2 linked regions of the Pelodiscus sinensis genome follow. The protein of the gene in region 1 binds, or shares a complex with, the protein of each later gene. Links are inferred from orthologs where the notes say so. Each region holds a gene or a part of one and is shown on either strand. Other genes may lie near its edges.

Region 1 (7,975 bases):
GTGTCCTTAAAGCAATACTGAACTACAGACCAAAATAGAATTAAGTCCTGATTTAACTCCCACTGACTTCAGTAGACGTTGGATAAAGCGCTTAAAGAGAGAAGCACTACCTAATGTATCATGAACAGTACTTCTAAAAAAAAAAAAAAAAAAACCCATAAACCATAGGTGTTAAGCTTTCCACCAGGACCAGAATTATACTGTTGGTATATGAGAAACAATCCCTGTCATGGTTTAGAGCTAGCTATACGTTTGACCTCTCTTGCTCTCTATCCCCCTCAGGAGTTAAGCCTCTTGTCATCAGCTGGCCTGGGGTGGAATGCTATGATTCTTCCACACTTAGATGATCCCATGAACACCCCTAATGAATCAAACATGATTATTCAGCAGGCCTGAGGGAGTTCATGCCATGCAAGTCTTCCCTTTGGAAGTTCTGATCAGTGGTGAACAACAACATAAACAGCCTTTGCAAAACAAAATAGTGTTTAATCACAACAATAGGAATAAAACATAACAAGAGAAAAGGGGGTCTAACATAAGAAAGAGGGCCACATACATTTCCATTACATAAAGATTGGGCAGGCTTATCTTGTCCCACCCTCTGTTTTGGTTGAATGGATCTACATAAAGCGTCTGTACTGAGGGTAGGGCAAATTCATACACCCCTGTACAGGCAGTCCCAGAGTTATGCGGATCCAACTTATGTACGAACCGCACTTACGAACGGGGCTTTTCTCGCCCCGGAGGATGCGGCCGGCGGGACCGCCCAGACGCACCGAGGTCCCGCCACCCTCGTCCTCCGGGGCAAGCAAAGCTGCTCCGTGTCTCCCTGGTCTGCTGGGGGGAGGGGAGCGGGCAGCAGACCAGGGAGACGCGGAGCAAAGCCATGGAGGACCCGGGCGGCGGGAGCGTCCAGAGGCGCCGCGGTCCCGCCCGGGTCCTCGGCGGCTTTGCTCCGCGTCTACCTGGTCTGCTGAAACTGACCAGCTGCTGACTACAGGAAGCCGGAGGCAGAGTTTCTCTGCCCCGGGCTTCCTGGAATCAGCTGCTGGTCAGTTTCAGCAGCAGCTGAATCTGGATGCCAGTTCCGACTTAAGTACAAATTCGACTTAAATACAAACCTACAGTCCCTATCTTGTATGTAACCCGGGGACTGCCTGTAATTTTACTGAATGCAGTAGAGCTACATAAGGCCTGCACCATCTGTACTTTTCTAACCTTTAGCACGAAGGCTTTCCCATTCACTACATCTTTATTACTGATATCTATATTGATACTAACTTGCATGGGCCACACACCCTGCCTAAGAGATTAAAATCCACTGTCAGTAGCAGAGAAAGCACTCTCTATTTACTGTGACATACCAACAATGTGCAAAAGTCATGACCAGAACATAAAAGGGTCCGTATTTTCAAAAGGTTGTAAAAATTAACAGCAACATTCACAAAGCTACTTTTAATGTGACAACTTCACTAATGAATTTATGCAAGTCCCTGTGAAACTGCAAGGCATGTACTATAACAGATTATCTAGAGAAACTAACATCTACTTAAAAAGTTTCAAAGTATCAAATCATCTTCTACACAAAACTATACTTCTTTACTAATTTAAGTTGAATATAGTGAGCACTTTAGTTACTTGATCCGTTCACTGTTAGTTACTATTCTTCTGAACAACATAATCAATGCATCAGTGTGTCTAACTTAACATGGAATCAGGCTGGCTCCTAAGTCCTTTCTTGACATAGCTAACAGTTGCTTCCTCATTCCTTCCCCTGCAGTCCCAAATACTTTAAATACTTTTAAAAAACAGAATACAACAAATCTAAGCTGCAAAAGTGAGCCCGATGGTACCTCACATGCCAAAAACAGGGTGAGTTTCGCAAACAGAGGGTGGGGCAAATTAGGCTCTCCCATTCCCTACACCCTTATTGCTGAGACCCACAGTGACACTCGCTGGCAAGGGCCACACGCCCTGCCCAAGAGATTAAAATCCACTGTCAGCAGCAGAGAAAGCGGCCTCTATTTACCGTCACATACCACCAGCTTGCAAAGGCCATGGTCGGAACGCGTTCCTCCTTCAAAATAGCCCTCTCCTCCACCGCCCAGCCGGAGCGATTCTCAGCGCAGTCTCAGGGCGGTAGAGCCAAGCTGGGGCTGCCCCAGCTGCTGGCGCTTTGGCACTGGCTGCGGGGCGGAGCTGGAGCTCCAGGGCAGGAGCAGACAGAGGAGGGGCGGGCGAGGCCGCGCCCTCCCACTCAGTCCTCGGTGCTTTAGGAACAGCGGGACAGTCCGCAACACGCCCCACTGCAGCCCGCCTGCCCCGCAGCAGCCCTGGGGAAAGGGCAGCCCGGCCTGGAGCGCCCTCCCTGCCTTCTGGGGGACTAGGGCGCTGCGCGTCCCTTCCCCCCTGCACCGGGCCTGCGCTGGGCTCTTCCCTTCCCACCGCTCTGCCAGGCCCCTGGGCTGTCACCACACCCTCCCCACAGACCGCAGCGGGGCTGTCAACCTCTCCCCCCCCCCCACCACCGCCGCCCATACACGCCCGTGGCCGCAAGAGGACTGAGCCGGACAGTCCCCTTCCCCCCTTGCGGGGCGCTGGCGCATTCCTCTGGCCTGGCACGCGCAGCAGGCAGCAAGCCCCGCTGGCACCCCAAGCCCGGGCGCGGAGCTCTGGGCGCCGCCCTAGCCCGCGCCCTCGCTCCCACACTTACCGCTCTGCTCCCCTTGCCTGGAGCCCCCGCAGGCTTGGAGGAGGGCGGCTTCTTCCCTTTACTTGGCTGAGACATGGCCGCGGCGGCTCCGTGCTCGGCGCCTCTCTGCGCAGTGTTTACGGGGCGCTGCGAGGGGCAGGGCGAGGGGGGCAGGTTACATGTAACTGTGAAGCAGCTTTTCCGATGCACCCAGAGCCAACTAGGCTGAAACCCAGCAAGTCCCTCCTCTTCCTGCAGCTTCGGCTGCTATGACCAGCTGCTCTAACTGCACCAGTCCTCTGTCCCGGCTCATCCCCGCTAAACTCAGTGTTTGTTGAGAAGGAGGGGACACCTGACTGGAAGAGGCTTGGGGGTGGTTTTGCTGCTTGCTGGGGCATACCTTGCTGGCTTACTTGCAGAATGCGGCCTGGGCGTAGCCCTTTTGGCGCTCAGAGCTGAGCTCGGATTTATGTTCCTTTTGGTGATAAGAAAGTATAGGGGAGGAAGCCATAAAATTCAAATCCGTAACAGAATAGTTTCAAGAGGGGTTTGGATCAGACCCAGAATTTTGGTTTGGGCCTATCCTGTCATTGCTATTGGCTCCATGTAACAAAATTGGTTGCCTGAAAAAAATAGCCATCACACATTTATTTCTCCTGTCAGTTTTGTGGTTTTAGGTAGTAAAATAACTTAAAATGTTAGCAAACCTGGATCTTTACCCAAAACTCAAGCCAAGTTTTAATTCCCCCCCCCCCCCCCCCCCCCAGGTTTTGAGAAGAACATTGGAAAAGGTTATCATGTTAGGTTTATGTCTCTTGTGCTCTTCCTGAATGTGGCTGCAAGTGGAAATATCAAAAGCAGACTAGAGATTCATGAGATTCTAGCTGAAGTTTTTCCCCATATTCATTTCAGTAAGCATCCACACTTGAAGCCTACTTCTGAAGAGGTGCTTGAGCCATTCACAACTTTTTTCTTGGAATCATGCCTCTAATTGTTGTTCAAGCCTTGCTGAATTTAGCTCAGTACTTGTTCCAGAAAGGATTTTATGTTCTTGTAACTCAAAATCATCAATCACTAATCTGTTAAATTTCCATATCAGTGAATGCAAAAAAGTTCATTCTATCTATTTATCAATCTATCTATCTATTTTTCTGGTCAGTATAGTTTTAATGGGTCTGACCAATATCCTGCAACATACAAAACAACAAAACCTTTCTTTTTCTTATTAAAAAGAAACTATTAGGTTTCAAATGTATATATTACATTTTTAACTGTTGCTGCTACAACTTATATTTATTAGATCTGAAAGAATTTTTGAAATCTAATTTTAAAATGTAAATTCTAAATGCAAACCCTTATGTAGAAGGCTGGGCAGTACATCAGCAACTTTTCTTAGAGGAGAAACAACTTATGGTCACTCAAAACTCCAGCATGCCCATTTGGCTCTGATCCAAAGTCAGGGCATCATTTGTGACTCTGAATGCATGAACACCCCCCAAAAATAAGAATTTAATTGAGTCTAGAATGTGAAAAGGTGTACGTGGAAATGAAAATCCATCACTTTAATTATTACCTTCCAAAATAAAGGGAGATTAAAGATATAAGTTTAATGGGCTAGCATATATGTACGCAGCTTGAGTAAAATAGATGGCTACGTCTACACTGGCCCCTTTTCCGGAAGGGGCATGTAAATTTCACTAGTCGTCGTAGGGAAATCCGCGGGGGATTTAAATATCCCCCGCGGCATTTAAATAAAAATGTCCGCCGCTTTTTTCCGGCTTTTAAAAAAGCCGGAAAAGAGCGTCTAGACTGGCCCCGATCCTCCGGAAAAAGTGCCCTTTTCCGGAGGCTCTTATTCTTATTCTAAGAATAAGAGCCTCCGGAAAAGGGCACTTTTTCCGGAGGATCGGGGCCAGTCTAGACGCTCTTTTCCGGCTTTTTTAAAAGCCGGAAAAAAGCGGCGGACATTTTTATTTAAATGCCGCGGGGGATATTTAAATCCCCCGCGGATTTCCCTACGACGACTAGTGAAATTTACATGCCCCTTCCGGAAAAGGGGCCAGTGTAGACATAGCCAATGTGTTCTTGGGGAACTCTAGGCTATTGGAGCAGTAGCAATGCCTCTCTATTTTCCCATGATTAAACTTTGTACAGTAGACCAGGACTAGGTATGCCTCTCTACCACATTATAACAGCACCAGTTTCACCAGCATTCAGGACTTTCCACAGCTTTCACATGGGCTCAAGGATTTGGCCCAAAGCAAGACATTTCCTGCCATGGGGGCAGGGGACTGGACTCGATGACCTCTCGAGGTCCCTTCCAGTCCTAGTATTCTATGATTCTATGATTTCACTGGGTCTGGCAATAACAGCAACATTGTCCCACTTTAAGCTGTAAACAGCCAAGATGGGAAATGGTCATTCCTGAGAAGTGGCTTGTCTTGAAGAGCTCAGAAATGCATAACCATTCTTCCAGGAAACCATACTGATTCTAACTGAGTCTGGGGGTTATAGAGACCAGTCCATCAGGAACTCAACGTTTTCTATTCTGAAGAAGCAATCAGAGCAACTGGCATAACATTCCTCAAAGATTGTAGCAATTTGGATGTAATTAGTAATTTGGGAGGAAGTGGGAAAAATCTATTCCAATTGTTTAAGTGAGTTTTGTTCTGTTATATTGCTATTCAGTTTCAAATAGGAAGAAAAATATTTACATTAAAATGAAATTGTGTATTACATTCTTATTAATACATATGTAATATTAAATATAGCTTATCTAAGTTTATTCTGGGAGAAGTCGACAATTATTGTAGATTTCAAAATACTGAATATATTTAAGCATATTAATACTTAAGATAAATATATGAAATAATTGTGGTTGTCTTGTATAATTGCAATGATTTAATGTAAAACTTCATAAATTTATCTTTTTGCTTTGAAACTTTTTACATTTCCAAGAGAATTTTGATTGTACTATAAACCTGCTTGCAAAAGACAGATACAGAAATTAAAAGTACTCTGAGGGCCTGATTCTGATCTCACTTACCCATGTGTGTAACTAACTAGAGATGTGTCAAAGCATGTGTGTATAAAATAATTGTACAAAGGTAACTGCTATAAAGATGAGTGCATGTGTGAGATACAGAGGAGAATGGAAGGTTGTGGGGCTAGTTTAATATGAAAGTTTAGCAAGTGCCTTTTGTGTTTTAATTTTAAAAATAATCCCTTGGGTCTCACCAACAGGTCGGACAGATTGTACTGCATTCCTGAGGCTGCAGGACATGGGATACTCCCTGCTGACACTTTGGCAGAAAAAGAAGGAAGCCTAAGTACCACTCCTTTAATTGTGCTGCCCTGATGACAGTCATCTGAGCTCAGAGACAGAAATTAGGAAGCAAACTATCAGCAGCATTCATGATTAGACAAAAATATGTGTGAAAAACACAATAATTTGAGTCTCAATTGATCCTGCCATGTGCTCAACTCTCAGGTCCTAATCCAGAGGCAGTGTTAGCCCATTGGGTACCCTAAGCAGGAATATTTTGGCTTCCCCAGTAATAAACAATAATTCATAATAATTAATAAAGTGAATAGCAGGCACCCTTGAGCTGCTCAGGGCCCTAATTAGTCACTTAGTCTGTTTATGCTAATTCTGGCTCTGCCTTGATCCATCAAATCACTCAGGCTATGTCTACACTGCACACTTATTTTGATTAACTTACATTATTTCAAAATAAAAGAGTGTGCATCTACATAGCAAGCCTGTTATTTCAAAATGATTTCGAAATAATGGGCTTCTTACCCTGACTTCTGTAACCCACATTTTACGATGAGTAAAGGAAGTTGAAGGAAGAGTATTCTATGCAAACAACACCAAAAGTCAAGTTAAGGTACATAGCTGAAGTTGCATATCTTAACTTGACTTTAGCCCTCAGCTTAGATGTACCCTCAAGCTCGTGCTTACATAAGAACAGCCATATAGAGTCAAACCAATGTTCTGTGTAGCCCAATATCCGATTTTCTGATAGTGGGCAGTGCCTGGTGCTTCAGAGAGGATGAACAGAACAGGGCAATTGTTGAACGATCCATCCCCTATTGTCCAGTCCAAATTGCTGCCAGTCAGAGGTTTAGAGAGATCTAGAACATGGGGTTGAAGCCCTGACCATCTTGGCTAATAACTGTTGATGGATCCATCTTCCAGCACTTCATCTAATTTTTTTTCACCCAGTGATAATTTCAGCCTTCACAACATCCATATGAAGAGGGATTAGAAAGATTGGAACTATGCTGATTGGAAAAGAGATGACTACAGAGAGCTATGATAAAGGCCAAGTACAAGGAAGTGAATAAGGAAATGTTATTTACATCTTCATATAACCCAAGAACCAGGGGTTAGTTATTGAAATTAATAGGTAGGAGGTTTAACAGCCTGTGATTGCCAGGATCACCACTGAAGCATTTTCTAAAAAAAATTATGTTACGTTAACTATTCTCCAGTTTTCTGGTACAGAAGTTTATTTAATAATTCTACAATTTTTTATTTGAGTTCTTTCAGAACTTGTGTGAATGACTTATTGTTTTGTTTATCAGTTACTTAGCTTAAGTATGTAATGGTCCCACTGAAAGGTTAATTAGGCACATAAATAAAATTTGAAATATCTCTCAGATAAATACTAAGCCAGTAACTCTAAGAGGTTTCACAATAGTTGCAGATTTATAGTGTTCCTAAATTAGAGTGTGTGTTAAGAATTCTTAAATGTCTAACACAAACAAGTGTTTTGTGAATACCAAACATCCACATCTGTATTTAAGTGTGTGTCAAAACTTGGACAACTGAAAAATGAGTATAATTCTAATTACAAATTTGGAGGTTATTTCTGAAAAATTGATCCTGAAAGCCTCAAAAACAACGTATGCAGCTGCTAAAATTTCCAGTAAGAAAGGTACCTAAAAGGTATCAGCTACCAATATTGTAGTCAACATGCTTTTTGGCACACCTTCACATGTCCTGTGTTCTTGATCTTATAGGAATAAATACTGTGCATGCATAGACACATTGAATTATGACGAAGATTATTTTCTGTCAGCACATTTCCATCTCGATGTCATCTCAATTTGTGGATGTGTTCCACAAGCCAGTGTATGTATCAGTGCAACCATCAGTTAGCAGGTAAAGCAATTCAATGCTCATTCACCTTAAGTAATGGAAGAAAGTACTATATAACCTTGTGGCTACTAGTCTTTATTTTTTCTAATGTAACTTATTCATCCACTGGAGTGTAA
Region 2 (7,826 bases), on another chromosome or scaffold:
GCTGCCTCCTCCATCCTGCAGTTGGTCCAAGGAGGGTGAGGCTTTGGGGGCTGGCCCCAATCTCCAGCTTCTCCCCCCCCCCCAACCTGCAACTGGTCAGGGAAGGCAGGGTTCTGGAGGCCAGCCTGGCATCCAGTGCCCCTCCAACTTGCAACATTTCTGGGGATGGGCCGCGTTCTCAGGTTTGGTCCCTGATGGGCGCAGAGACAGCAGGGCTGGTGTGCATAGATGCCCCTCCCTTGGTAGCACTGTTTGGGGGCAGGGGGCATTTATGTGCTCTGGTGGCCAGTCATATGGCCCAGGTGGCCACTCCGCTGCCTCCCCATTCACTCTGCATTATAGCTCTCTCCTGTGCTTGCTGCCCACAGTGCTCACTTTAAATAAAAGTCTCCTATAATCAGCCCCCTCCCTTTCCATGTCATGGAAAACAGTCCCATTCCAGGCACGTCACATTTCCCTGGGGCAAACAAACCCAGAACTTCCTTTAAGCTATGACAAAAGGAAGCCACATATCAAATTTGGTGGTCCTAGGTCTTACTGTTTAGGAAGAGTTCTTGAATGAACAGGGGTCGGTCGGTCTCTCCCTATATATATATATATATATATATATATATATATATATATATATATATACACACACACACACACACACACACACACACACACACACACACACAGAGAGAGATAAAAAGATACAGTGCTCCTGTCAGCAAATTGCAAGCTATCTGCCAAAAATTAAATGTTTTGAAGTGCCTTAGTATCCCCTGAAATCGCAGTTAAAGTTGCCACCTCCTCCAAATCTGAAGTGGCACCACTGTCCAGAGTGGTTCCTGAGTAAACAGAGGCCTTTGCGGCCAGCCCCTTCATAGGAAAGCATATTGATTGGGCTTTAGTTGTTTGGCTCTTAGCCCTGAAGGATTTTTCCATTTGTTCTTGGAGCAGTTTCAATGCTCTTTTGGGGCCATTTTCAGCCAAATTCCTCCATAATGTAGCTCCTACTACACCAAGGATGAATGTGGCCCTTTGCAAAAGGTGCAAAATTCTGAGTATTTTGACCAACTTTATTCCTCTGTACCCCTGCAAAAGGTAGGCAATAAACAAAGTGATAAGGGATGCTGCACAGCTGGTAGGAAAATATAACCTCCCTGTATCAATCAGGGTAGAAAGAAGGGGATCTAGAAAGTCTAGGGGGAAGGGTGCAAATAGGGAAACTGAAGCAAGAAAGACTCTCTCAGTGACTGGTAAAACGAAGAACGGAGCAAGCAACATTAGTTGGCTGAAAAGAAGGAAAAAGAATAGATGGTAATGGAGATACAGTCCTTGCAATACCTCTCAAACTTGACAAGTATATTTCACCAGAGACCTGTGTAGCTGTAGAGGGGAGTGGATCTGAGGGTGGGGACAGTGTAGGAGCTGGGACATGAATTCATACCTGTTTACACCTGTTCAATATGAACAAACCATGCTGAATTAGTTATGTATTTTGGGAATGCAAACAAATGAGTTAACTCACAGCAGAGAACAGCCTCCTGGCACTATTACATATTTAAAAAAAGCTGTTTTCAACTGACCACATTGTGGGAGGGCAATAGAATGTGAATGAGGATTATTGAGTCTTGCCCTTCATCGAGTTTTGCACGGAAAACCAGTCATTGCCTGGGTGGCTTCAAATACTGACTCCTGTCTTTAAAGTAAACACAGTTACTGTGTTGAACTCAAGATGAGCCAAGAGCAAGGTATCTGGAATAAACATTAAATAGCTGCAGGAGGAAGATCAGGACCCAAGTTTTTATCAACATAGCTCCCCTGACTTCTGTGGGGACACTCCTGCCCTACAGCAATATAAATAAGAGGTCCTTGAAGTGAATCTGTGAAATTCAGAGACTTAACCTTCATGTTTATTAATAAGCATCAGCACTGCAAGCCCAGACATTTCCATAGTTTCCATAAACTTTTTAGCTACTTTTCTAGCCCAGAGAAGTTTAAATAAATCCAAACAGAATTAGCACTTTTTTAACTTTCCCATTACACATCGCTGAGCCATTAGTGCATCTGCACTCTTAGGTCCTGGCCGAGGGACTGCCCCATGCATCTCAGAGGTGCCTCCCTTGGTCCTTTAGCAGGCTGCTCCTATTGAGTAGGAGTCAGTAAGGTGCATTCTTCGGGGGGGGGGGGGGGGGGGGAGGTTTTCAGGCAACAGACAAGCTTTCGCTGCTCTGTGTGCTGAGCTTGGGAAAAGTACGTTCTTCCTCCTCGACTTCGCAGCCTGGGGCTCTGTAATTCATGCAACTTCCCCCTCTCCGGTTAAGAGCAGCATTTTTGCTATAACCTAGTCCGGTGTCATTTCATCTCTTGCAGCCGGCTCAAGACAAAAGTAGAGCCTTCTGCTACCGATCCCCAGCCACGTTGGGGTGGTCCCAGCCCAGAGGCTAGGTTTGGCTCGTTAGTAAAGAGAAGGCCCGAATGCAAAACGCAAAGCAGGTGTCCCTCCCCCACAACCCACACACACCTGGCTCCTAAGATTCAGGGGTCAGGGGTTACGATGAGGAGGCTGGGCTCCTCTGCAGCTGTCGTTGTGCACGGAAAAGTCCAGCTGTTATTTATAGGCATCTCCCTGCCACCAACATTCCCCCTTGGTATGGGGGAGGGGGGACAGGAGCCCCCCCATCACCGCAGCCTTCCCACCAGCCAAACACGCTCAGCTCTGCTCTGCCCTTCACACCAATCCCCTGCTTCTCTGTCCCTCCTCCCTCACCCCCGGCCGGTCGCGCCCCTACCGTTGGTCTCTTCCACGTGATGCCCTGAGTTTTGTACGAGGTGGGCCCCAGCTCCTGGTAGCCCAGGGAAGAGGGGACGGCGGGGAAGGCGGGGTCCTGGAAGAGCGCGCCAGCCTGCAGGCACTCGTCCCGCAGCGCCTCGAAGTCCTGGCTGAGGTATTTAAACGCCTTCGCGTTGGAGCCCAAGCCCCGGGCTGTTTCCCGCTCCTTCGCCAACTTCGCTGCCATCCCTGACATGGTCGCCTCTGCCGCGGCGAGCGCGCTGCCCCTGCTCGGCGGGGACGTGGGGAACCTGAAGTAAACAGCAGCCAGACCGGCTGGTGAATCATCCGTGGGGGAACTGCTGCAAAAATTGGGTGTGGCTCGTGCTTAAAGCTGCAGCCTCCTCCTAGTGTCCGTAGGGCAGAGATGCACAGGGCGAGCTGCAGCACCACCCGCACCCCCACATCTTGCCTGTTTTCTAAGGTGGGATCCTCCTGGCTGGGATGTGCCTGGCCACTACCTAGTCCCCCCTCAAGCAAGTGTCCTTTACACTTGTCCGTTGTAGTGAACAGCCTCCTCACCCTATCAGAAGTCGGCAAAACCTGGTCAAAACCTACTTTGAAGTAGGAATAAGAGCCTCCGGAAAAGGGCGCTTTTTCCGGAGGATCGGGGCCAGTCTAGACGCTCTTTTCCGGCTTTTTTAAAAGCCGGAAAAAAGCGGCGGACATTTTTATTTAAATGCCGCGGGGGATATTTAAATCCCCCGCGGATTTCCCTACGACGACTAGTGAAATTTACATGCCCCTTCCGGAAAAGGGGCCAGTGTAGACGTAGCCCAGGGCTATATCTAGACTGGCATGATTTTCCGCAAATGTTTTTAACGGAAGAGTTTTTCCGTTAAAAGCATTTGCGGAAAAGAGTGTCTAGATTGGCACGGACGCTTTTCCGCAAAAGCACTTTTTGCGGAAAAGCATCCGTGCCAATCTAGACGCGGTTTTGTGCAAGAAAGCCCTGATCGCCATTTTCGCGATTGGGGCTTTTTTGTGCAAAACAATACCGTGTTGTCTACACTGGCCCTCTTGCACAAAAGCATTTACGCAAGAAGGCTTTTGCCCGAACGGGAGCAGCATAGTATTTCCACAAGAACACTGACAATCTTACATGAGATCATCAGTGTTCTTGCGGAAATTCAAGTGGACAGTGTAGACAGCTGGCAAGTTTTTCCGTAAAAGCAGCTGCTTTTGCGGAAAAACTTGCCAATCTAAACGCAGCCCAGGAGTCAAAATCCTATCTGGGCTATCACTTTGTCTTGGTGTCTGGCCTGGGTTATCAACAGGAATAAAACTCACACCCTGGCCTCTATCACTTAAACTAAAGGGGACACATGTACCACCTGTCCTGACTATAAAGCTTGTATTTATTTCATTTCCTCTTTAGCTCCTCCATTCCAAAAGTGGCTGTGCTGTGTTTGAAAGTGATGGAAACTGTGCTGCTTATGTTTTGTCACATGCTTTGGGAGCCTCTGGAATTTAAGGGGATTATTGTCACCTTTCCTGTTAACACATTACATTTTGAGGGGTTCCTTAAATCTTGAAACATTTGCTATTGATGCTGTACAAAATACCCAGGAAAAGGAGCAAACTTAACATTAGGGTTATGTCTATACTGCAGGCTTCTTGCAGAAGAACTGTTTTGTGCAAAAGTTCTTGCACAAGAGTGCGTCCACAGTGGTCAAAGCGCATCACAATAGCAAAGCGCTTTTGCACAAGAGAGCGACCACATTGGTGGGACGCTCTTGGGCAAAGACCTCCCTCCCGGAACCACTTCAGACAGGGCAAAAGGGCACCGGGACCTTCTGGGGGCGGAGGCTGGAGCTCCTCTGAGACATGTGCTTAAAGCAATCTCCCTGGACAGCTGTTTCTCTGCTGCTGCATGCTTTGGGACTCCTGGTAGGGATTGAAAGCTGTAGCAGTTCCTGTTGTGGTTGCCCTCTTCCTCTTTGGACACCACAGCTTGTGCGCTAGTGCTTTTGGGGACTTTTGCCTTCTTGCTGTGCCATGGAGCCAGGGATGGCCCTGTGCCTGCTCTGGCCCCACACTGTCATTTTGGAGTGCCTGCAGCTGCTGCTCTATGCTGCCTCACTACTCCTGCACAAGCTCAATGCCGAGCTCACTCTGGACTCCCTCTCCCTGGATGTGGCGGCTTCACTGTGGCATCCCTTCCGCACTGTGGAGAGGCGATACTGGAGACTCGACACCAGTTCCGACTGGTGGGACCGGCTGGTCCTGGAGCAATGTGATGACTAGCAGTGACTCCACAACTTCAGGATGCGGAAGTAGATGTTCCTGGAATTGTGTGGCTGGCTCACCTCTGCGCTCCTCATAGGCAACACCCTGCTGCGGCCCACCATCCCTATGAACAAGAGGGTCGCCATCGTCATGTGGAAGCTCGTCACCCCAGACAGCTACCACTCAGCGGCACACCAGTTCGGGGTGGGCAGGTCCACAGTGGGTGCCGTCTTGATGCAGGTAAGGCCCTCGGGGGGGCTGCAGTCCCTGCCCAGGGGAAGGGAAGACTCCAGGCTGTGGGAGCCTGGGAGGGTATGGGGGAAGCCCTGTCACCCCCAGGGGCTTGTGCCGTTCCTCCCTCACATAGGCCTGTCTGGTGTGTGTGGATGAGGCTCCGGGGCAAGGGGGCCCTAGCGTGTTTGGTGGGGAGAGGGCATCACAGGAGGGCAGGCACCCCCCCAAGGGCTTATACACCCACCCTGCCCCATTCTTGTGTGTTCCCTGTGTGCCCTTCTGCAGGGTGTCTGAGCCATCAATGACATCCTCCTCAAGAGGGTCATCCGCCTGCGGGACGTGGACGCAACCATGACTGGCTTCACTGCCCTGGAGTTCTCAAACTGCGGGGAAGCCATGAATGGGCTTCCCATCCGGGCACTGGAGCATTGAGCAGCCCACTTCATCAATCGGAAGGGGTACTTTTCAATGGTGCTCCAGGCCCTTGTGGACCATCGTGCCCACTTCATGGACATCTATGTGGGGTGGTTGGGTAGGGTACATGATGCCTGCATCCTCCGAAACTCTAGCCTATTTTGCAGGATGGAAGCGGGCACTTTCTTCCCCCAGCAGGAATTGACGGTTGGGGACGTCCACATGCCACTGTGCATTGTGGGGGACACGGCCTACCCTCTCATGCTGTGGCTGATGCAGCCATACACTGGACACATGGACCCTTGCCAGGAAACATTCAACCAATACCTGAACCGGGCCCGCAACCAAGTGGGGTGCACCTTCAGACTGCTGGGTGGGCAGTGGGAGGGGACTCCCAATTGGGAGGGGGAGGAGGATGGGACTCTCAACTGGGAGGGGAGTTCTTGCTGGGAGGGGCAGCTCTTGCCAGTGCCTCTGCGGGTACAAAGGCTTCGGCGTCCTTCAGGCCGGGTTGGGGCAGGCATCACAGGGAAGTAGGCAGGATGGGTGCCAGGCCATGCCAGAGTGCACAGCATGGCTGATGTGCGACATGAGGGTGGAGATGGTGTCACACATGAGATCGCAGTGTTGGAGGAACTGGCCCAACGCCTGCTGCCACCAGAGGCGTAGCAAAGGGAGGGCATGGGGGGAATTGCCCCTGGGCGCCACGCTAGGGGGGCACTGGGCAGGGCAGGGAAGGGGGAAAACTAGGGGGAAGGGCCGGGAGAGGAAGGGGCTTGTGCGGAAGGGGAGGTGGATGGGGTGGGAGAGGAAGGGGCTTGTGCGGAGGGGGAGGGAGAGGAAGGGGCTTGTGCGCAGGGGGAAGGGGACGGAAAGAGGAAGGGGTGGGAGAATAAGAGGCTTGTGTGGAGGGGGAGGAGCTGGGAGAGGAAGGCACCAAGGGACAGCCTGGAGGAGAGACAAATGCCAGGGGGCCAAGTGGAGACAAATAGGAAAAGGGCAGGAGAGGAGGTGCCAGTGGGAGGGGGGACAGGGTGATGCTGGGAGAGGAGAGGGTAAGGGCATTGGGGGCCGGAGGGGGAGGTGCTGGGAGAAGGCTTAAAAGAAGGGGTGGGCATGTGAAAGGTGGGGATGGAGCAAGGCATCTGTGAGGGCACAGAGGGGCATGAGGGCAATGGGGGCAGAGAGTGGTGAGGGGGTGGGCATCAGGGAAAAAGAGGGCAAAGGAGGCAGGGGCAATGAGGAAAGGGGGAGGCACCAGGAGGATGCAGGGCTAAGGGAAAGTGCAGGTGCCAGGGGATTCTGGGGGTGAAGCAGAAGGGCAGACACCTGCAGGGGAGGGACCAGCACCAGAGCAGAGAAGCAGGGCAGGTGTGTAGAGGGAGGTGTTAGGAGAGGGAATGAGGAGCGGTAGCTCACATGATCAGAGTGGGGCTACTGGAGGAGTGGGCACAGGGGGGAGTGAAGGGCTGGTGGAGGGGGGCAGGTCACAGGAGGGCGGAGGGCAGTGAGAAGAGCAGGAGTCAGGACAGCAGAGGAGGGTGAGGAGCTGAGGGGCAGCAGGCACCAGGGGAGCTGATGGAGCAAGGGGAGGAGACATGGCAGCAGAGAGAAAAAGTAAAGGTTTATAAAATATTTATTAATAACTTGGGTTCCACAATGGCACATCCAAACAAGCCCCATGAACTCAGTACTGGTGCACAACACAAAATTCATTCTGCTCATGGGAAGATGCAGTACAAGTTCCCCTCAGCTGTGCACCAGGTTCAAGGCTGTGTCACATGGCGGCAGGGGGGAAGGGGTGCAAATTTTTCCTTTGCCCCCAGGTGCATAACACCCTCACTACGCCTCTGGCTGCCACCACTCCATGTCAGCCCGCAGCTTGCTGCTAACCGTGTCCCCCATCCGCTCCACAGCCTGGATGTGACACGGGAGGAGCAGATCGCACTGCCTGGCTTGCCGGACTGGTGCCTGGGTCGTTGGTGCCACCACCGCAGGGCTGGAGGATCCCTCGCTCCCCGCTGGTTCCGCTGCAGAGAACGCAGAAAACAGAGAGGCAGTCAGTCATCCCTGCCCACAGTGTCCCTGAGCCCCAGGCCCCCTTCCATGAGCCTCACGTTACACCACACCA

What was found.
Region 2: the proteins of CAST (region 1) and calpain-2 catalytic subunit are in contact, whole or in part, in a crystal structure (PDB 3BOW), measured with the Rattus norvegicus proteins. The link is inferred for Pelodiscus sinensis from reciprocal best matches to the Homo sapiens genes CAST and CAPN2. Residues at the interface, in NP_445747.2 of Rattus norvegicus: Glu571, Leu572, Asp573, Ala575, Leu576, Asp577, Glu578, Leu579, Ser580, Ser582, Leu583, Gly584, Gln585, Arg586, Gln587, Pro588, Leu596, Asp597, Asp598, Lys599, Val600, Lys601, Glu602, Lys603, Ile604, Lys605, Ala606, Glu607, His608, Ser609; in NP_058812.1 of Rattus norvegicus: Glu62, Leu63, Ser68, Lys69, Gln99, Gly100, Ala101, Leu102, Gly103, Trp106, Lys161, Asp162, Leu165, Leu166, His169, Ser196, Gly197, Gly198, Thr200, Ser241, Asp243, Ile244, Thr245, Asp249, Ser250, Glu251, Ala252, Val253, Val259, Lys260.

What each region holds. Positions count from the first base shown.
Region 1 is NC_134716.1:70,618,900-70,626,874, forward strand, and holds the start of CAST (calpastatin), read right to left. Parts: upstream 3,016-7,975; 5' UTR 2,789-3,015; coding exon 2,714-2,788; intron 2,172-2,713; exon of another isoform or gene 2,040-2,171; intron 1-2,039.
Region 2 is NC_134713.1:155,231,782-155,239,607, reverse strand, and holds the start of calpain-2 catalytic subunit, read right to left. Parts: upstream 3,144-7,826; 5' UTR 3,015-3,143; coding exon 2,778-3,014; intron 1-2,777. UniProt on the Homo sapiens protein: Calcium-regulated non-lysosomal thiol-protease which catalyzes limited proteolysis of substrates involved in cytoskeletal remodeling and signal transduction. Proteolytically cleaves MYOC at 'Arg-226'.